Saccharomyces cerevisiae S288C: one gene and its partners. The gene in region 3 interacts genetically with the main gene of each other region. Each region holds a gene or a part of one and is shown on either strand. Other genes may lie near its edges. The genes, in order: FPS1, UBP3, FKS1 and CRZ1.

Region 1 (4,110 bases), 760 kb from region 3:
ACAACTTGAAGGTTTCAGCAGCGGTGTTTCTGTCCAAAGTGTATTGGAATTGAGCAATGGTTGGAGGAACCTTCAATCTGATGGACAAGATCTTCTTTTGTCTTTGCAATCTGACATATTCTGGCCATTTGACGTATCTGGACAAGTTTCTCTTTGGTTGGACAGCTTGGCCAATACCGAAGTTCTTTGGAGTAGAGTGAGTCAATGGGTTCTTAGCCTTGTTAGACTTAGTGGACTTAGCACCGAATGGAGCTGGAGCAACTTTCTTACCTGGAGCCATCTTTTCTTTCAGTTATCGTGTTCACTGTATTGAAAAACAGATATAAAAAAAAAAAATAGTGAATTTCAACGTGCGCATCACAATACTTATGTCTTGATAATAATATCGATCCCATACTATTGTCCCTGGATTTTGAGATGGGAAAAGTTTCAATGCGTTCTATCGTATAGTATGATGTATTCAAAAAAAATGCGATAATTCTTTAGTTGTCGGCACTTCGGAAGCCAAAAAAAAAAAAAAAAAAAAAAAAGAAAAAAAGAAAAGGGTGTCTAAGATGTACGGATCTTCATTGGGATGGAAAACAGGCAAGTAAAAAGAATAGTAATTATTACAATGGAGAAGATAAGATAAAGTTAGCGGCAACAAATAAAGAACTCATCAGAGTTCTTGGCTTCTCTATGAGTGAAAGTGTTTCAAAGGTGTTTTTTTATGAGACAACAGTAATTCCCCTCCTTCAGAACAGAGTGTAGTGATTGGCAGTGAAGCTATCCCTCTTTGCCACCCAATTTTGACGGCAGTTCTCATAGCATCTCAAAGCAATAGCAGTGCAAAAGTACATAACCGTAGGAAGGTACGCGGTAGGTATTTGAGTTCGTTGGTGGTTATCCTCCGCAAGGCGCTTCGGCGGTTATTTGTTGATAGTCGAAGAACACCAAAAAAAATGCTGTTATTGCTTTCTCCGTAAACAATAAAACCCGGTAGCGGGATAACGCGGCTGATGCTTTTATTTAGGAAGGAATACTTACATTATCATGAGAACATTGTCAAGGGCATTCTGATACGGGCCTTCCATCGCAAGAAAAAGGCAGCAACGGACTGAGGGACGGAGAGAGTTACGGCATAAGAAGTAGTAGGAGAGCAGAGTGTCATAAAGTTATATTATTCTCGTCCTAAAGTCAATTAGTTCTGTTGCGCTTGACAATATATGTCGTGTAATACCGTCCCTTAGCAGAAGAAAGAAAGACGGATCCATATATGTTAAAATGCTTCAGAGATGTTTCTTTAATGTGCCGTCCAACAAAGGTATCTTCTGTAGCTTCCTCTATTTTCGATCAGATCTCATAGTGAGAAGGCGCAATTCAGTAGTTAAAAGCGGGGAACAGTGTGAATCCGGAGACGGCAAGATTGCCCGGCCCTTTTTGCGGAAAAGATAAAACAAGATATATTGCACTTTTTCCACCAAGAAAAACAGGAAGTGGATTAAAAAATCAACAAAGTATAACGCCTATTGTCCCAATAAGCGTCGGTTGTTCTTCTTTATTATTTTACCAAGTACGCTCGAGGGTACATTCTAATGCATTAAAAGACATGAGTAATCCTCAAAAAGCTCTAAACGACTTTCTGTCCAGTGAATCTGTTCATACACATGATAGTTCTAGGAAACAATCTAATAAGCAGTCATCCGACGAAGGACGCTCTTCATCACAACCTTCACATCATCACTCTGGTGGTACTAACAACAATAATAACAATAATAATAATAATAATAACAGTAACAACAACAACAACGGCAACGATGGGGGAAATGATGACGACTATGATTATGAAATGCAAGATTATAGACCTTCTCCGCAAAGTGCGCGGCCTACTCCCACGTATGTTCCACAATATTCTGTAGAAAGTGGGACTGCTTTCCCGATTCAAGAGGTTATTCCTAGCGCATACATTAACACACAAGATATAAACCATAAAGATAACGGTCCGCCGAGTGCAAGCAGTAATAGAGCATTCAGGCCTAGAGGGCAGACCACAGTGTCGGCCAACGTGCTTAACATTGAAGATTTTTACAAAAATGCAGACGATGCGCATACCATCCCGGAGTCACATTTATCGAGAAGGAGAAGTAGGTCGAGGGCTACGAGTAATGCTGGGCACAGTGCCAATACAGGCGCCACGAATGGCAGGACTACTGGTGCCCAAACTAATATGGAAAGCAATGAATCACCACGTAACGTCCCCATTATGGTGAAGCCAAAGACATTATACCAGAACCCTCAAACACCTACAGTCTTGCCCTCCACATACCATCCAATTAATAAATGGTCTTCCGTCAAAAACACTTATTTGAAGGAATTTTTAGCCGAGTTTATGGGAACAATGGTTATGATTATTTTCGGTAGTGCTGTTGTTTGTCAGGTCAATGTTGCTGGGAAAATACAGCAGGACAATTTCAACGTGGCTTTGGATAACCTTAACGTTACCGGGTCTTCTGCAGAAACGATAGACGCTATGAAGAGTTTAACATCCTTGGTTTCATCCGTTGCGGGCGGTACCTTTGATGATGTGGCATTGGGCTGGGCTGCTGCCGTGGTGATGGGCTATTTCTGCGCTGGTGGTAGTGCCATCTCAGGTGCTCATTTGAATCCGTCTATTACATTAGCCAATTTGGTGTATAGAGGTTTTCCCCTGAAGAAAGTTCCTTATTACTTTGCTGGACAATTGATCGGTGCCTTCACAGGCGCTTTGATCTTGTTTATTTGGTACAAAAGGGTGTTACAAGAGGCATATAGCGATTGGTGGATGAATGAAAGTGTTGCGGGAATGTTTTGCGTTTTTCCAAAGCCTTATCTAAGTTCAGGACGGCAATTTTTTTCCGAATTTTTATGTGGAGCTATGTTACAAGCAGGAACATTTGCGCTGACCGATCCTTATACGTGTTTGTCCTCTGATGTTTTCCCATTGATGATGTTTATTTTGATTTTCATTATCAATGCTTCCATGGCTTATCAGACAGGTACAGCAATGAATTTGGCTCGTGATCTGGGCCCACGTCTTGCACTATATGCAGTTGGATTTGATCATAAAATGCTTTGGGTGCATCATCATCATTTCTTTTGGGTTCCCATGGTAGGCCCATTTATTGGTGCGTTAATGGGGGGGTTGGTTTACGATGTCTGTATTTATCAGGGTCATGAATCTCCAGTCAACTGGTCTTTACCAGTTTATAAGGAAATGATTATGAGAGCCTGGTTTAGAAGGCCTGGTTGGAAGAAGAGAAATAGAGCAAGAAGAACATCGGACCTGAGTGACTTCTCATACAATAACGATGATGATGAGGAATTTGGAGAAAGAATGGCTCTTCAAAAGACAAAGACCAAGTCATCTATTTCAGACAACGAAAATGAAGCAGGAGAAAAGAAAGTGCAATTTAAATCTGTTCAGCGCGGCAAAAGAACGTTTGGTGGTATACCAACAATTCTTGAAGAAGAAGATTCCATTGAAACTGCTTCGCTAGGTGCGACGACGACTGATTCTATTGGGTTATCCGACACATCATCAGAAGATTCGCATTATGGTAATGCTAAGAAGGTAACATGAGAAAACAGACAAGAAAAAGAAACAAATAATATAGACTGATAGAAAAAAATACTGCTTACTACCGCCGGTATAATATATATATATATATATATTTACATAGATGATTGCATAGTGTTTTAAAAAGCTTTCCTAGGTTAAGCTATGAATCTTCATAACCTAACCAACTAAATATGAAAATACTGACCCATCGTCTTAAGTAAGTTGACATGAACTCAGCCTGGTCACCTACTATACATGATGTATCGCATGGATGGAAAGAATACCAAACGCTACCTTCCAGGTTAATGATAGTATCCAAACCTAGTTGGAATTTGCCTTGAACATCAAGCAGCGATTCGATATCAGTTGGGAGCATCAATTTGGTCATTGGAATACCATCTATGCTTTTCTCCTCCCATATTCGCAAAAGTAGTAAGGGCTCGTTATATACTTTTGAATATGTAAGATATAATTCTATATGATTTAGTAATTTATTTTCTATACGCTCAGTATTTTTCTGCAGTTGTCGAGTA
Region 2 (5,268 bases), on a different chromosome or scaffold from region 3:
TATACGAAATATGCTCCTGCGAAGCGCAGTGGCAATATTGAGCACTATGTTAACGATAACGTGTTGGACTCATCGTCTGTGCACATATGATTGAAATCGGGAATCCTCTGCTTTTTTTAGGTAAAATCAAACTTTGGCTAAATTTGGATGATTACTTAAAGTAAGAAATGAATCTTAAGAGATGTATGAGTTTTGTGATAATTGTTGTGATTCCATTGTTGCCAAAGGCCATAATATTTTGAAATTCACATTCCTTCTACAAGGTATTTGTTTCTTAAATGTTCATCTCCAAGAAATAATTGGTTTCGTGGTCTAGTCGGTTATGGCATCTGCTTAACACGCAGAACGTCCCCAGTTCGATCCTGGGCGAAATCATTTTTTAAATATGCCAAGCATAAAGTGTAACTCTGTTTCTCTGTCTGTCTCTATTTCTTTTTTAAAATCGTGCTCACTATCGTATTGTATTGTATTGTATTGTATTATTGCTATATTATTTTTTATGTATTTTGTCTATAATACCACCCCCCGTCTTAATTTCTCTTTTGATACATTAAAATATAGGCAGTCCTCGAATCAGAAGCTTCTTCGCCACCTTTCAAAACGTCATCGTCCTCTAGTTCGGTAATATTTACATCATCTATTCTATACCATTTGTTGTGCTCGCTATGATAAACATCCGCTGTGTAATGACCGCCATCGGAACTTACCCCATGATGGTATATAACTCCGGTTAGCTTATATCTTCTATCATCAATCCCTGAGGTGTTGTTTTTCAATGTTATGGAAGACATTGATTCTTCAGGTATGATTAACTCGTGACCATATTTAATTTTTTTCCTGATCTTCTCAATACGTCCATTGTACGCGTTATAGTTCGTCATTGCGTTGTCTTTGTTCACATTATTTATGAATGAGAATCTTTTGAATTGGATTAAAAGAACTTGCGGCAATTTATCAATAAAAGTCTGCTTCTTGGCCTCGACATCATTCCCTGACGAGGACTTAAAGGGTAGCAATTCGTATTCACTAAATTTTTTGAATGCAGTTTCTAGATCATTCACACCAGCATCTGAAATGTCCAATTGAATTGTTTGGAACGGATCGAGTGTAATCGATTGAGATTCCTTATTGTTCGGTATATCTAACACAGATCTGAACTGGCCACCGAAAAGTTTGGAGATTGGTGATGGAACAATCTCGACAGTCCTCTTGGCAGCGGTCTTAGTTTTCTTGCCTCTTTTGCTAGATCCGCTCACTTCATGCCAACCATTTTCTTCGGTAGAGTCATCATTGATCACGCCATATTTTTCTATCAACTCCTTCAGTCTAGGACTAGCATTTTTGATAAACTCTGCTTTTCCATAACGTGACAAATTTCTAATAAAGAAAACTTTCAATTGTTCATCATTAATACTTTGCAGCATATTTTGAATTTCATTATCGGTTAAGCCATCAATTGCAGAAATTAATTCCTCGTGTAATTGGTCCAATAAGTGGGTCAAAAATTCTTCTGCGTCTTCCTGATGGCCCCATTGCAAGTCTTTGAACTTCGGTATAGTAGACAAAGTTTTGTAAAATTCGTCAGGTTTGACAGCATCGGCAGTGGCGCAGTGTTGGAAACTCTTGGATTTTGATGATTTTTTTGCATCACTTTCCGTGGTTTTTTCAGCATCATCAGCATTCTCTAGGAATTTTTTCTCATAGGTTTCCTTATCGAATTGCTTATACATAGTCAAACAAGCATCTAATAATTTACAGGATGATGTGCCGACTCTTGAATTGGTATTCCGTGTACTGAGAACGTTAATTACATCAATAAATGGCTTACAGTAGAGTAACACTTGTAACACAGAACTCATAAAACAAATGTTGGCTCTGTTAATTATGCCTCTTGGAATAATGGAATGGACTGGTATTTTGTTTTCAACATCTTTATTCCGTAAAACGTAACTAATGAAATCGGGATCAAAACACATTCTTAACGCAATCGAACCCAGTGGCTCAATACCCTTTGTAGAAGGTGGAACGTATTTTTTATCCTTTTTCTGAGGCTGCTTGGACAACAGGGGAGAGCTGGATTTACCTATAGTCGCCGCAGCCATGTTTGTTGATGAAACGCCTGCGGTCGTACCAGAAATTGGTGTTTTAGTGACCATCGATCCGGAGACTGTTTTGTTACTAGCTTGTCTACTTTTAATCGCATCTGATGCTATGGCGGACCAGGATTTTGCTGCTGGAGGAGATGGTGAAGGTGAAGATGTCTTGGAAGTATTTTCTTCAACAGATTCCTCTGGTTCCTTCTTATCCACTACAGGTAAAACAGTAGCTTGAGGTTCCTGTATAACTTTTTCGTTACGGTCTTGCTTAGCATCCTCTTTCTTTACTTCAGTTTTCTTTTTAAGCTCGTGCGCATCTTTGCTCGCATGTGGTTTTTTATCATGAGCATCTTCTTCTTCCCCATGTGTTTCTGTCTTTACTTCCTCATTATGCTTTGGTATACTATGGCTTTTTGTGTGATGATGGGCAGAGCTCTTTTCTACAGATGAGTTCTCTAAGCTTTCAGAGTTTAGGTTCAAAGCCTTCATGTTTAATTCGTACCTTTGGACACTTGCCGCAGCAAATTCTGCTTCCGTAGTGTTTATGAACAGTGGCAATTGAATCAAGTTTGATGAATTTTCCTTGAGATTCTTTAATTTAGTGACATCAAACTTGTATAAATCATACTGTGAAGAAGAGTTGTAGGAAGAGTACGATGGTGAAGTAGCCGAAGAACCGTTGCCGTTGGAAGAGTTGGTCTGTTTTTTCATGCCCGCATTGCTGCCACTGTTTGGAGAGGCCATCATGGGGATATGATTGTTAGAGTAATTGTGATGGTAGGTGTGGGATTTGTTGTAGCTCATGCCGCTACCGCTAGAGTTGGCGCCTTGATTACCGCTGCTTCCATTGTTATTGGTAATGCCATTAGAGTGCCACTTCTTCTTGTTAATGTTGTTGTTATTGGTAGTGCTTCCGCCGTTAATATTGTTTTGCGGAGGCAAGTGATGTGGGCTGCCACTTTGATGGTAGATTGGCTGGTTTTGGTTGACCATATTAAACGAATAGGCAGGTATTTGTGTGGGGTATAGATATGGGGCCTGAGTGTAGCCGTACATCTGCAAAGGCGCTTGATAAATAGGAATCTGCATATTGGTTGGCGTAGGTGGTGGTGGAGAAGAGGTTTTCGGGTACATCGAGTACGACTCTTCTTTGTTAGCGTCTTGCATGTTCATTTTTTTTAATGATGATGGAAAGGAAAGCGGTACCTGGATGATGGTAGCAGACGAGTCTGACTTACTATTAAAATGACTTTCTTCTCTAGAAACACTTCTCTTCCCTTTCGCTTTTTCGCTGCTTGTTTGTTTTATCACATTATATTTTTTTCCTTCTTTTTCTTTTTCTTCCTTGCCTTTGCCCGTAGAAAAATTACCCTCTTATTACCGTTCACCTATATACGTATTCCTTCTACATAGTTATGTTATTGGTGATCGCATGAGATTTGCAAACAGCACCAAACAGCTCAATGCCCCTGTCGATATCATCAACTTCTAAGAAACTAATAGAAAGCCTAAAGCATGACTGACCCCAGTTTTTCTCATCGCCGATGACCTCGAAATTGGAGCCGTCGGCAAGGATGACATTAAATTTCTTGGCAAGAATAGTGGATATCTCCATGGCATTGTACGCTGGTGGGAGAGTGATCCAAGTAAAATAGCCGCCCTTCAATGGCATAATCTCGGTTCCTAGGGGCATGTATTTCTTAAGCGCCGAGGTCAAGACAGTGGCCCTCTCGGAGTATACGGATCTCAGATGTGCAATGCATCTCTGGGCGGCACCACTACGCAGCATCTCACCCACGATCATGGAGTTCAGTTGTGAGGGAGTTCCGCCAGAGACGTTTGCACCACCTTTAGATAGCTGTCTGGCGAGATTCGCGTTGATTGACTCATGGTATCCAAATCTGAGCCCAGGGGCGATCAGCTTGGAGAAAGTTGCGTTGGACACTGTATTCCCGAACGAGTCCTCACCGGAGGGCGCTGTACTTCTGTCTATGTGCACCATCCTTAGGGGCGGAGAGGGCAGCTCATCTGAGGGCGTCGTGTAATCTAGAATATCGTACACGTCATCAGTGATTATCAGCATGTCGTACTTCCGAGCGATGTCGATAAGTCTGCGTCTGGTCTCAAGCGAGTATGTGTTTCCCGATGGGTTTGCAAACGTCGGGATGCAGTACATAACGTACCTGTAGACCTTCTTGGTCAACTTTGGCCCCTGAATCATCTCTGTGGTACTATGGGGCTGCGGCTCCGCCTCGTGCTGCTCAAGGGCAGAAATCAACGACTCGAAATCAATCGAGTCGTGGCCCTGCTCGTTGATGGCGGTCATTTTCCCCTTGAATCCCGCATCTGTGAAGCAATTGTTGATCAAGAAATATGTTGGCGTGATGATGAACGCCTGCCTGGTATACCCGTTATGTGGCAAGGTTGTTTGCAGAAGGATGTTCAGCATGCCATACGAAGCGCCGCTATTCAGATTCAAATAGTCTGCCCGTGTCCTGCTCCGAGCCCCATTTTCGAACTTAAACAGCTGATCATTCAGAAACGTACAAATCTGCTCTCGCACCCACAGGGCACCTTCGTCCGAACCGTACGTCAGCGGATGCCTGTTATAGGGGTCGTTATCGTACTCCCTGGTCTCGGGCCCCAATATAGCCGCAGTCGCTTGAATTACTGCTTCTCGAGGCAGCAACCTCGAGCTCGGATGGCCCTTGAAGAAATTGATTTCCTTGTATTTCATTACCGCTTGCTAGCACGCGTTGTTCCTTGTTACAGCGATGCTCCACCCAGATTTATGTGTTGATTTCAAATCCTCTTCTCTTTATCACTAGTTCGGCATCCAGCAGCGGCAGCCCGCGATAACTTTGACGGAACTCCGCCAGCACACGTCGCGCCTGCGCTGGGCCGGGAACATGCCAAAGGACACCAGCCAGTAGTAGCGGTAGTGACCATTCGTTCTTTATCACTAGGGGCTGTCGTCCAAACAACGCCAGGGCAGCTGCTTGCTCATCTTGCTGCATCAATGCTATGCCCATAGCCTTGGTCATTTGCGGGAAGTCGCGCAGCCTTAATGGCGGCTGCCCTGGTAGCGTATCCATCTCCTGCAAGAATACCTTCCACTTTTCCCTGAGCGCCGTGGAGTGCATTGTGCCACGCGCAAACGCTTCGACTTTAA
Region 3 (7,871 bases):
AATCTTCTCGTTGGGGCTCGCAACTATCTAGCTAAATTAATTCATTTACAATCAGAGTGACACAAATTTTTTCAGAATTACTGACACCGAAAGCTGCTCCGTTTTTTATAAATAGAGGCCGATACTGGTGAAAAAAACTAGACAAAAGACTGTTTATAATCACATAACTGTACAAAAAAACCCTTATTGGCATAAACACATTCATATACCTATAATATAAAACTAAATTAAAAAGACGCTTCCAAAAATAAGTAAAAAAGCATCAACATTAAAACAATCTAAACCAAAAACATCGAACGGTATTTGCAACATCTTGAGAGTTTCTGGTCTACTTGCTTTTGGATAGAATATCAGTAAAATCAAGCGTTCAAGCAAGTATTGATTGTATTATTTTATAGTTGACCAGGTCTTTAATGATGGCGTATGAGTATAGTAGTGACTTTGATAAGTTGACATTTGGGAACCAGTGTCATTATTGGTTGTATTTATTGGTTGGAATAGATTGTGAACAACGCCATCCAATGAATCTCCAATGTGTTTGTGGATCTTAGCAGAGGCTACAGCAGGACCAATAATGCATCCTGCAAAAATAGCCAATACTAAAAAGTACAAAGAGCAGTACTTCTTGACCATACGCTTACGCAAACGAGTTTGCTTCAGAGAGTAAATTGGGGGACGAATTTGACGAGAGGGCTTTAGCCAGAATAGCATAATCGAGTGGAATTTATCTATTTTTGGGATTATAATGAGTGGCAGTTGACAGATTAAAATCACATGACCTAGAACAAAATCAGCTGCAAATTCTGAAAGCTCAATTACCTTGGCGGTTAATTCTCTACTTGGCTGGGTCCAAGCCATGTAACCCATACCTTTACCATACCACTTACCAGTCCAGAAGGCTGTATTGGCATGATCGTTTTTAAATTCACGAGTCAACATTAACGCTGTCATGCAATGAAAAATGAGTCTTTGACATTGGATACAAGTAACGACTCCGATTAACATTCTAACAAAGTTGAAGCTCTCCAAAACCCACATGACAATGAAAAAGGCAATGTGGACAATAACAGCAACACCGTGGGCAATTCCAGCCATTACAGAACCTGTCTTCTTACAACACATACCAAATAAGGGACCAGAGCAGCATGACATACCCATACAGAAGAATAGAACACCGAGGTTAACGGCGATTGGCGCCAAGGTACAAATGATGATACGTAAAACAGAATTCACCCTATCATCATCAGTAGTCTTGACACCGGTTTGAGCATTAATAAACGTGAAGGCAATAAAACAACCAGCTGCATAAATTGCACAGGGTATGATTTCAGCCATGATCAAATTGGTTCTATGAGCCCTGCTTGCGTCACCAGCAGCTTTCTCAGATTCATCGCCAACCAGTTTACGTTTAAACCCAGTAATACGTGCCCTAGACATCCTCACGTAACCAATCCACGAGTTTCTATGATATTGATTATTACCTCTTGATAACCATCTGATATAATCCCTGTAATCCAAAAAGAAATCTTCCCAAGCAAACTGATGTGGATTGAAAACGAAAGGCGCAAAAATTAATGAAGATAGAGAGGCCCAAAACCACAGTAGTGGAGCTTGCCAATGTGCGACAGTACCGAACAGCAACATTAACATTGATCTTGCACCCATGTAGATAGCAGATCCTGCAAATCTTGAATACAAAATTGAAAATGGTATACGAGAAGTTGCAAAACCACGACCGGTGGATATATAACGAGCACCACCAATTGCTAAATCACTTAATAACGCAGAAGAGTAGATTTGGCCCGCAAACACTTCGAACATAGGGGATAATGATAATAGGTGGCAGAAAAATCTTTGGGTGGCTTTCCATAGACCACGTTCAATTAGTTCTTGAACAACAATAGGAACGAAGGCAATCCAGAAAACAATGAAAATAGACAATGTATAACGTCTCACCCAATCAACCGCAGGTTGGAAGTTGTAACACCCAATTGGAACCAAAACATCTGTTTTTGGTTTGTTCCTATCGTAAATACACATAATAGATTCATGGGCCAAGGAAGATAAATTCACCAAAGTCAACATAAACATTTGCAAAGATAATTGAATGAACAAGTTGTTCAAATGGAAACCAGGATGGGCATAATAGAATGTTAGGAAACGGTCCACTGGTAATTGGGTACCCAGATAATAATATTCACGAGATAACATTTGTTCACCCATACCAGCACCAATCTTAGTAGTGAAATTTAGAATTGTACCGAAACCCAAATCTCTACCTTTACCACATTGATAATACTCACAATGCTTGATACGACCACCACGAAGCATAGCATTCATACCAGCATAAATATCTTCGTTTAAATGCAAACCCTTTTGTGCTTTGGAAACACCACCTCTAGTGGTCATAAACGTAGCATTAATGAAATCCGGATGACCATAATGCAATTTACCACCAATTTGAGATAAAGTACGCGCAAATAATGTACCAAAAGTTTGTTCTTTACCAGCGGCCACATCACCCAGCACACCAGAGTTTTCAGAGAAAATGTATTCTCTGGCACCAACAATAGCAACAGGATGATTAGTTGTTTGCTCCTCATACCTTAAACCGGGAGCATATGGATTAACTTGTTCAACGTTCAATTCCTCAAATTCAGCCAATACAGATCTAATCTTCAGACATTCTTCCAAGTAGTTATCTTGGTTGGCATCAATTAATTGAATGTATTCACCTCTGTAAAAAATCAAAGCATGGTTTTGGTTATCAGATTTACCGTCACCAAGAATTGGGTTACCAGATAATTGAACTCTAAACTTGGGACGTCTACGACCATTATCTAGAATTTCACAATGTCCATCAATCAAAGCGGAATAGATTCTTGGCTCCTCACCTTCAGTCAAAGGTGGCTCTTCATCCAAGTAGGCAATTTGTAAGTCTGGGTAAGCTCTCAACAAAAACTCAGCATTTTCCAGTTCATGTGGTTTGAATTTAGCCAATCTCTGCATAGAGACCAAAAATTTAAACTTTCTTCTTGCCATCTTTTCTAGCTCTCTTTCTAAGCCTTCAGCATTACCACCAAACATTTGAACAATTTCAGGATTTTCCACACGATACAGTAATTTGATAGCTCTTGAATAATTCATGAACCCTGAAATGGTACGATATAGAGTCTGCGACCTCAAAGAAGCCCAAATTCTCGTACGAAGTGTATATTCTGGAGCAGCAGATTTAAAACCAATACAATAAAATGGCAAATCATCGATTTGAGATTTCAAAGCATCTTCCTTTTCAGCTTCATTTTCATTTCCTTCATAGGCAGCGGTTTCTTCAGCCAAAATCTTAGTATCCTTAACAAAACATTCCCATTCAACGGGATGTAATTGTTTTAGATATTCTAAAAGAGTAACTCTAGAAAATTGGTCATCTTCACGAATAATTTCTCTTAATGACAGCAGAATTCTTTCCGCGTAGTGAGGAGTCAATACTGTGAACGTTGGCATGTTATCAACTGGAAGTGGTTCGGGAATTGGAGTAGACAAAGATTGAGCAAAGAAAGAAATACGACGCTCAGCCTCTGAATCCCTAGGGAAAAATTCAGTCTCAAAATTATTGTCATCTTGAGAAACAAAGAAGGTAGGAGCTCTCAAAGTTCTTTTACCTTCGATTTCAGATGGAACTTGATGATATAGTAATTTTTGTACATGGTCGATGGCTAAGAGATGTTCTCTGTACATTGAAATAATGATGGCATTCCATACTTGAGAAATCAAAACCTTTGGTTTGTATTTAATTTCCATATCAGTAGTAGCCAAAATCTTGGAGTATATTCTTTTTGGCAATCTTGTGAAGATATTTCTCCATGGTGTTAAGATAGAAATACCTAAATAGAAAGATTTCCCAACAGAGAAAATGGTATTCACAATAATGTACCATAAGTAGGTATCCAAGAAGAAAAGAATGAAGTCGGTAGCGATAACCAAACCTAAGACAATCTTGGGTTGCACTTTACAAAGTACCGCACCCCACCAGTATTCACCTGTACACCTCATTGCAGTGGTGGACAAAATTCTAATTGGATCTCTCAAAGATAAAACTAAAAAGTAGTACGATTCTGAATATTTGGCAGCAAAAACAGTAACCCAAACTAAATAGGACATCCATCTATCTAACCCATGTAGAGGGGCAAATGCAGCAGTGAATGTTTGAGATGCAACATAACGCCTTGTAGATTTTTTCATATATGACGTAAACAACCCCCCCAATGGCATAATGGAGAAGAATATGATGGTAGCAACCGCAACAAAGAACATAACAGCAGCAACAACGTGTGCAGCAGTGGAGTAGACTGTATCTTTGTCGTAAGCAAAAACAAAAATAATAGGACCCAAATTAATACCAAAGATGATGCATAAAAACCAGAATCTACGAGATAGATGTTGAGCACCAGCCCATTTTCTTGGAACGAATGACCATTCACACAAAGTAGCGACAATTTGAATCAAACTTGCGACAGTACCACCTAATGCGCAAGATGCCCACTTGTAAGCAGCCAAAGGTTGGTTGTCGACCAATTGTTGATAGTTATGAGTGTAAAATGTTGGTGAATTATATGCAAAGTACATCCAAAAAATGGAGATATGCATAACCCAAATACGGTTGAAGTTGGTGACCAAATGTAACCAAGTACGGGTCTCTTTATATGTTTTGAAGAATACATCATCCCAGACGACATCGCCTAATCTTAAATAACGTTCTTCCAATGGGAGTTCTATCAATTTTGTTCCATCTTCAAGAACAATCTTTGCAATACCTTCTGGATACCAGAACAATTGGTTTAAATCATCATAACCGACAATTTTGTTATGATCTCTTTCACGCTTGACAAAACGACCATCAACAATTTCATAAACTTGATTTCTGATGAAATGATAAATTGGCGTAATGACTCTATTCAAGAAATCACCTTCTGGCATAGGTTCTTGGCGTTGTTGGCAAAGAGGGGAATCCAAGTAGTCAAGAGCACACTTGTAGATAAAACATAAACATTCAGCAGTGAATCTGACTTGATTAGCTTCACCCCAACATAACAGATATAAGGCGATATGACGAACTCTTTCCAGGGGAGACAACTGGTTCATCTTGGCCTTCCATCTAAAATCAGCAGCCTCTAGGGAGTTGTCGCCTTCAATTTTGTTTAAAGTTTCTTCAGTGTCTTCGGGATTGGCCTCTTCCATTGCTTTCTTGTTTTTCTTCTTAGCTTTTCTTGCCTTCCTTGAGAGTTTTCCAAGACTCATATTTCTAAAACCAATTTCATCATCCATATCTAACTGAGCAGCAAAATACCATTTTTTATAGTTAGCAGTATCGCCACCAATGTAGTCGGCATGTAAAGATAGTAAAGCTTGATCAGGAGACATTCTCGAGGACCTAGAGTCCAAGAGAACCATAAAATGATCAAACATATTTCTCATGGAGTCTCTTTGGAACCCGAGTCTGTTGGTCAAATCAATAAAGATATCTTCGATTTGCTCGATCGAAACGGGAGATTGAGAGTCAGCAGTCCAAGCGGGATAAGGTTCATTTGGCAAAGCCATAGCGATAGCATTTGGGTCATAATTACCGTAAATTGGAGTCGAGGTACCCGACGAATTTGGTTCTCCATAACTCATTTGAGAAGCGGTATACTGACCACCATAGCTATCATATCCAGGTGTTCCAGGAGGGCCGTAACTGCTAAAATCCGAGAAGTTTTCACCGTCTTGAGCAGCCATATTTGGCGGTTGACCATAGTATTCACCGTTTGTGTAGTCTTGGTCGTAAGACTCGTTTGGTGGTTGTTGACCATACATATCAGCTTCAGTACCAGCAGCGACATTTGGATCGTAGTAACCATCAGCTTGTGAAGGATACAAAGGCTGGCCATATTGGTCATAGTCTTGTTCCTGACTTTGCCCGTTACCTGGTCCCTGGGTATAGTCCGTTTGGCCCTGATAAGGTTGTTGATCAGTGTTCATGGTCTGACCGTTGTATGAAAGACTTGATTTCAGCTACTTGCTTATTTTAATTTTTTTGAGCGAACGTAAGAGAGGTTAATGTCCTCTAACTATCAGTCCAATGACAGTATTTTCTCCTTCTCACAAACTACAATAAATATCTACCAATCTCTTTTCGAATAAGGACTAATGATATACGCTAGTTCCTGTTTGGTAAATGAAGGCTAGTGTTCGAGAATGGAGAACTTCGTAGTCGGTTAAAACAGCTGTAGTGTTCTGGCCTTCTTAGAAAGAATAAATAGTTCAGGAGTAAAATCAAAATATCTTTTAATATAAACTAAGACAAAGAAAGAAACAAGAATTTTGATCTGAAAAAATCGAAAAAAAGGAACGAATGGATCGATGAAAATTTTCGAGACTAGGTTATAATTATTTCTTTTTTTAGATTTGTGCGCGTAAAAAACGGAACCAGAAGAAGCCAAAAAAAAAAGAAATTCTTCCTGTGCTTCATCAAAACGCGAAAATTCGTCGCCCAGTAAGTGAGACTATTTCCTATAATAGAAATCCAAGTGGCAAAAGCGTTAGACGCAGTACAAGGACGCGTTAAGAAAAATTTCGAGAGAGTCGCCGATAGTAGGATTAGAGTTTCATAACGCGTTACACGGAAGGAGAGCAGTAAGGAGGGCCCGATACAGAAAAAAAAATGGCGCTTGTTACAGATTCTGATTGCCCGTACATGACATGGTCTTTCTTTTCTTTTTCGTTAATATTTCTGCTTTTTCATGTGTGTCGAAAATAGTTAGCTCGATAAGATACTGTGATAGGCAAAAAGAAAGTTTGTCCTTCCGCATCGGTGCTGTCCCTCCTTAGCTGAGGGTTCGGTGTACCTGTGCTTTTTCGGAACCAGTTCTTGGCCCGCTAAAAATCGCTACGTCCATCCCTTTGTCTTAGTCAAGCACGAAGGAATTCGAAGTTTATCGTAATTTTGCTTTGTTCTGGTCCCTTGGTTTTCTCTTTTTGCATAAATCTGGCAGTATCGTAAAATGTGATTTGCACAAACCAATGCACAGAGGAGAGTTGAAGTACAGATAGAATGCGTTTACGACATTACTTAGGCCTTTCCAGGGCGCGAAAAGACAAAATATGGATTGCCCTTGCTAATTGTGTAGATGTTTGCATGCCGCGGTTTTATCGCTGCGTCACATATGGGATTTTGATTGATTCAAAGCCTTGATATTATCAATAAATGGTTCAATCACATCCCATTTATTGAATTGGAGGCCTTCTTCGTCCTCTTCTGTACTTGAAGTGATTGATTCAGATTCTGCGTTTGAGGACTCTCTTTGTTGGCTTTGCTTCATATCTTGAACAGTTCCGTTGCACCAAGCGCTCAAGAGTTGTTGCCGTTTTCCTTCATTGTTCTTTAACCAGAGTTGAATAATTTCATCAATTCCCAAAAATAACTGCGGAATCTGGTGCTCAAAGACAATTTTTATGAGAATTTCAATAAATGACAAAAATACTTCATCGGAAAATTTTTCTAAAAAATTGACAGAATACATGAACTTAACGATCAAGATAAAGCATTTTTGAATCTCTAAAACAATCGTTGAAAATACTCTACTGAAAAGAACGTAGTTGATAATAGTGTTTCTATTGTGGCATTGATCTTGTTCTTTTAGCTCGATTCCGAATTTGAAAGTTTCCAAAATAGAATTGGAAAAATGCTTCAAACGGCACATTATGTCCACTATATTTGTGGAGGGATACTGACCCTTTAGCTTGCAAATTATGTACTTGTCATTGTAGCATTTCAAATCTGCATCAAACATTTGTAATAAGTTTATGTTCTTTATCAACGTTTCGACCCAAAT
Region 4 (4,469 bases), on a different chromosome or scaffold from region 3:
TTCACTAGCTGCCCCAAAGTAATGGATTTCATAATAGTATCATCTAAGTATGCCTGTAGTACGCTAGGGTCGATATGATCTGTCCCTGTTGTTACTACACCCGCAACCCTAATTGGCTTTAAAGTAGAACTCTCATTGAAAATTGGCATCGGGCTGTCTAAGGAAATCTCATTATCAACACCAGATGATGAGGTCATGTTGAATTGAGCTACTTTTGTCTATTTGGCATCAAAACTTTTGCCACGTAAAACGCATCCTCATACAATAACTTTTTGTTACTTGCCATTATTTTCGGCAGCTTAGAAAATTCAGACGGGCGTAAAAACTATTAATCCGTAAGAATATCACTGTTTTATACTATTTCATTACAAAAACAATAACCAAATAATACCTTTGCATGGATTAGATTAGCCATAATTTCTACACTGTCATTATGAAATTACATATTTATTATATAGAAAAAAAAAATTCCTATTCAAAGCTTAAAAAAACAAAAATAATTAACTCTCTTGTCCCGATTTCTCCTGTCTGGCTTCTTCGTACAAGGGAGTGATGCATCTTCTACCACTTTCAGTTTTAAAATGCCTACCAAGAGCATCACTTCTTGCAAACTTTTTGCCACAACCCCAGGGTTTACCGTCCTTCAGCTTACCACCGCATACATACCTTTTCTTACCTGTATGCAAATCTTCGTGTCTCTTTCTATCATGTTGACGTGCAAACGCCTTACCACAAATAGAACAAATAAATGGCCTTTCATTTGTATGCGTTCTTAAGTGTGACTTTAAGTTATAAGGTCTTGTAAACTTCTTACCACATACATCACAAGCAAAATTCGCAGGATTTTTCCTATTATTTGTTACACTGTCTAGTTTTTCTAGATTGTCATTTTTCTTAACAGAAAATGTGCCATTATCGTTATTTTCGTGATTATCATCATTTTTGAAACCAACTTTCTGCTCAAATTGGCCCAAGCTATCTATGTCTAGAAGTATGCCAAGATCTTTGCTAGTGTCATCTAGTTCATTTTTAATATTGACAATGCCCGATTCAATTTTTGGTTTACTTGTTAACAAATTGTTATTATTATTATCCTCATTAAAATTGCTACTGTTAATGGTGTTATAGCTAGTTTTGCTATCATTGTCATAGCGCTCCCGATTATTGTCATTTTCACTGGATGGTAAAAGATCTGCCATCTCCAATAACTTTTCCCTATTTGCACTTATAGATTTAGCTTTTTCATCGGGAGATATGCTTCTTGATCTCGAGGATCTCCTGCTAGTGAAACTATTATTGGAAGTTTGAGAAGATCTTCTTCTTGATTTTTTAAGTTTCAATTTTCGACCGTTAATGATATCTTCGAAGGAGCGGTCAATATCACTGAGAGCTTCGTTGTTGTAATCATTATCATCTGGACGAAGTAGATTGTTATTGTTAGTAGCGCTATAACTTTCGTTATCCCGAACTTTTAGTTGTAACGTTCCGTCATCTTCGTTTTTAACTGGGAAGTGTCCCTCATTGAATTCCTGTATAGAAATGATGGGTGTTACCGGGGCAGCATGAGTGGAAGGAGAAGGTGTGGAAGAAGTTGGAATAGTCAATAACATCTTTTGGTTAGTACCGACTTTACTTTTATTAATGGCAATGGTACTGTTTTGAGTGTCAGCGGTATTAATAATTCCGTTATTACTGTTGTTGAAATCACTGTTGTTTGATGCTGATAAAAGGTTATTGTCTGAATATGTTAAAGATAGCAAGTCATCCAACTCATCAAGGTTTGAAATATGTTTATAACCATGTGAATTTACGGGCAGTAAATAATTTGAGTTCATAGATGCGACGCTCAAAAGATCGTCAAAATCATCGTTATTCGCGGTTAAGTGAGACATCGCAGGTGAAGAAACTAAGTCCTGTGGATACAAATAAGGCGTATGATAGTTTGATTCTGTATCGCTATAATTGGAGTCAATGCCCGAGCTCCTAGTGGTACCATCGTAATTAGATCTTGGAGATAAAAACTGGTTTGTGAGGGATGGCCGATGTTGATTATCAGCAGGTGTTAAGATATCGTCCCACTGAAATGTATCAGATTGTTCGACTTTTAAAGTTGGTGTTTGCTTCTGCTGTTGCTGTTGTTGTTGCTGTTGCTGTTGCTGTTGCTGTTGTAACTGTTGCTGTTGTAACTGTTGCTGTGGAAGATCTGGTTTGTATAGACTTTGGTAATTCAAATCTGCAGAATAAGAACCGCTTGACGGAGACAGCAAGCTGTTCACGTTAGAATCAAATGAGTCCGGGATGCCAGAGGAAAGGTTCTTTGATATTTTCTCCGATGAATTGGCGGAATCCATCCTCATATCCACATCTAAGTCCAAGTCCGATAATTGGAACGTATGTGATCCTGAATTGCTACTATTCCTGAAATTATTACGTCTGTAAGCGCTGTTATCGTCTATATCGTTTTTGTTGTTTATACTTTGCTCCTCTCCATTACTACTAGTCATGTAGGAAGCCATATTTCCGTTGCTGAATGACATCTTCCTTGTACTGTCTGACGAAACTTCCAATCGAGACTAAAAATACAACCTAGTTTTACTCGCGTTCAGAGTGTATAATCGTACTAAACTGCTGTGATGGCTATTGCCTGCTCTTTTGATTGTACTTTATCTAGCACTTCACAAGGTTTATAAACTCAATATCGGACTAATATGATAAAAAAAATTCAGGTGGGAAAAGTGAGAGGGTAGGCAAGAAGGTCGAAAGGAAAACAAAAAAACGTATCGCTGATATATAGCTCGCTCATGCAAGGCACAAATACAGGGGTAGGGTCCTCGACGTAGTAGACATTCTGCTTCTATAGATATTAATTAGTATAATGTTATTCAAGATAGCTTAGCAATTGTTAAATGCGCGGATGTACTTTTCAGCCCCCAACAGAGGGGCGAAGTTGCAACTAAGCTAAAGTGCAGTCAAAGCTGGAGCTCAACTGCTAACATAATAAGATGTGACTATAGTGCGCCTGGCAAGTTGCATGTTGCACTATATTACGACCAGTAATTTCCCTTGCCGAGCATATATGCCAATTGCCATTACGTGGGATATGGAAGAGGTGGGGTGCTTTTAGGTATTTGCTTTTTCTCTCATTTTTTGGATAGTACACTTTAAGCATGCGGTGTGTGGATGATGCCAAGAAAATTGAAAAATTTGGGCAGGCATTCGAGAAAGGGTCTTCAAAAAAATGCGAAGTAGTAGATATGAGTGCTTCCGTGCACAAATAGTCTTGTTCAATGGAGGTGTCATCAATAAATGTGTCTCAATACGGCACATCGTCATAAGGTAGCAGATGTTGCTAATAAGAAGGACGATAAATGCATTTCTGGGATGTATCCATTGCAATCTTACGGCGACGTGCATCCTGATTGCCTTCGTCATAACCATGTATGTGGTACTTGTATCTGAGCCTGCATCCGTAGACGGAACTATGGGAAATTTTCTTCCGTTTTCCAAGATGGATCTTGCGACGAAGAGGGACAGACCCTTTTATTCGAATTGTGTGAATACTCAGGACTATTTGTTGAATCCATCGTACATCAAGCAGAATGCCTCGTTTGTCATGCTAACAAGGAACGGGGAGCTAGAAGATGTTATCAAGACTATCAACAGTATAGAAGAGCATTTCAATCAGTGGTTCCACTATCCATATGTGTTCTTAAATGACCAGCCGTTTGAAGAGGACTTCAAAGCAAAAGTACGTGATGTTACAGTGGGCGCGCTGGTGGAATTTGGCACTATCGATGAGATATCTTGGAATTTTCCCAGTGACGTAAAGGATACGTTCGAGTTCTACAACGCAATTGAGGATCAAGGTGATAGAAGCATACTTTACGGAAACTTAGAATCATATCATAAGATGTGCCGGTTTTATTCAGGATTATTTTACAAGCACCCGCTAGTACAGAAGTACGAATGGTATTGGAGATTGGAACCCGATGTTGAGTTTTTCTGTGATATTACCTACGATCCCTTTTTGGAGATGCTCCGAACTAATAAGAAATATGGATTTACGATCATCATCCCCGAATTGTATTGGACAGTCCCAAATTTGTTTAGACACACTAAAAGCTTTATCAGTCAAAAAGGCGTTACGCTTGGGTCATTATGGAAACTATTTACAAAGGATTACGACATTTTTGAATCCGATGATCCGGAGTTACGGGACTGGATCAACTATGATTTTCAGGCCAAGGCTAAGATATCCGAAAAGATAGCCATCGAGCAGCTTTTGAAAAAGGGTGATGATTTCCAACAGATAAATGATGACAAAGAGGGAATAATGAATTTGATACATAAGGCTCGCTCTAGGAAGCATATCGTAGAAGACAAATTTTTCAATGAAGAGTACAATCTATGCCATTTCTGGAGTAATTTTGAGATTGCGCGGCTAAGCGTGTTCGACAATGACATTTACA

The links.
Region 1: mutations in FKS1 (region 3) and FPS1 together harm fitness more than expected from each alone (negative genetic interaction), as found in Saccharomyces cerevisiae (5 studies listed by BioGRID, with this or other methods).
Region 2: mutations in FKS1 (region 3) and UBP3 together harm fitness more than expected from each alone (negative genetic interaction), as found in Saccharomyces cerevisiae (5 studies listed by BioGRID, with this or other methods).
Region 4: mutations in FKS1 (region 3) and CRZ1 together harm fitness more than expected from each alone (negative genetic interaction), as found in Saccharomyces cerevisiae (5 studies listed by BioGRID, with this or other methods).

The regions. Positions count from the first base shown.
Region 1 is NC_001144.5:48,350-52,459, forward strand, and holds FPS1 (Fps1p), read left to right. Parts: upstream 1-1,588; coding exon 1,589-3,598; downstream 3,599-4,110. Other genes in the region: 60S ribosomal protein eL8 RPL8B, read right to left, coding at 1-280; ATG10 (E2-like conjugating enzyme), read right to left, coding at 3,738-4,110. UniProt on the Saccharomyces cerevisiae protein: Channel protein for glycerol. Has a role in both glycerol influx and efflux. Plays a role in osmoregulation: under osmotic stress the channel is apparently closed to allow accumulation of glycerol in the cell under hyperosmotic conditions.
Region 2 is NC_001137.3:469,156-474,423, forward strand, and holds UBP3 (mRNA-binding ubiquitin-specific protease UBP3), read right to left. Parts: upstream 3,270-5,268; coding exon 531-3,269; downstream 1-530. Other genes in the region: YER152C (2-aminoadipate transaminase), read right to left, coding at 3,502-4,833; PET122 (Pet122p), read right to left, coding at 4,886-5,268. UniProt on the Saccharomyces cerevisiae protein: Has an ATP-independent isopeptidase activity, cleaving at the C-terminus of the ubiquitin moiety in natural or engineered linear fusion proteins, irrespective of their size or the presence of an N-terminal extension to ubiquitin.
Region 3 is NC_001144.5:808,144-816,014, reverse strand, and holds FKS1 (1,3-beta-D-glucan synthase), read right to left. Parts: upstream 6,019-7,871; coding exon 388-6,018; downstream 1-387. Other genes in the region: YLR342W-A (uncharacterized protein), read right to left, coding at 32-205; SPO77 (Spo77p), read right to left, coding at 7,197-7,871. UniProt on the Saccharomyces cerevisiae protein: Alternate catalytic subunit of the 1,3-beta-glucan synthase (GS) complex. Synthesizes 1,3-beta-glucan, a major structural component of the yeast cell wall. Involved in cell wall synthesis, maintenance and remodeling.
Region 4 is NC_001146.8:577,648-582,116, reverse strand, and holds CRZ1 (DNA-binding transcription factor CRZ1), read right to left. Parts: upstream 2,538-4,469; coding exon 501-2,537; downstream 1-500. Other genes in the region: SAM complex subunit SAM50, read right to left, coding at 1-197; KTR5 (putative mannosyltransferase), read left to right, coding at 3,344-4,469. UniProt on the Saccharomyces cerevisiae protein: Involved in the regulation of calcium ion homeostasis. Binds to the calcineurin-dependent response element. Transcriptionally regulates PMC1, PMR1, PMR2A and FKS2.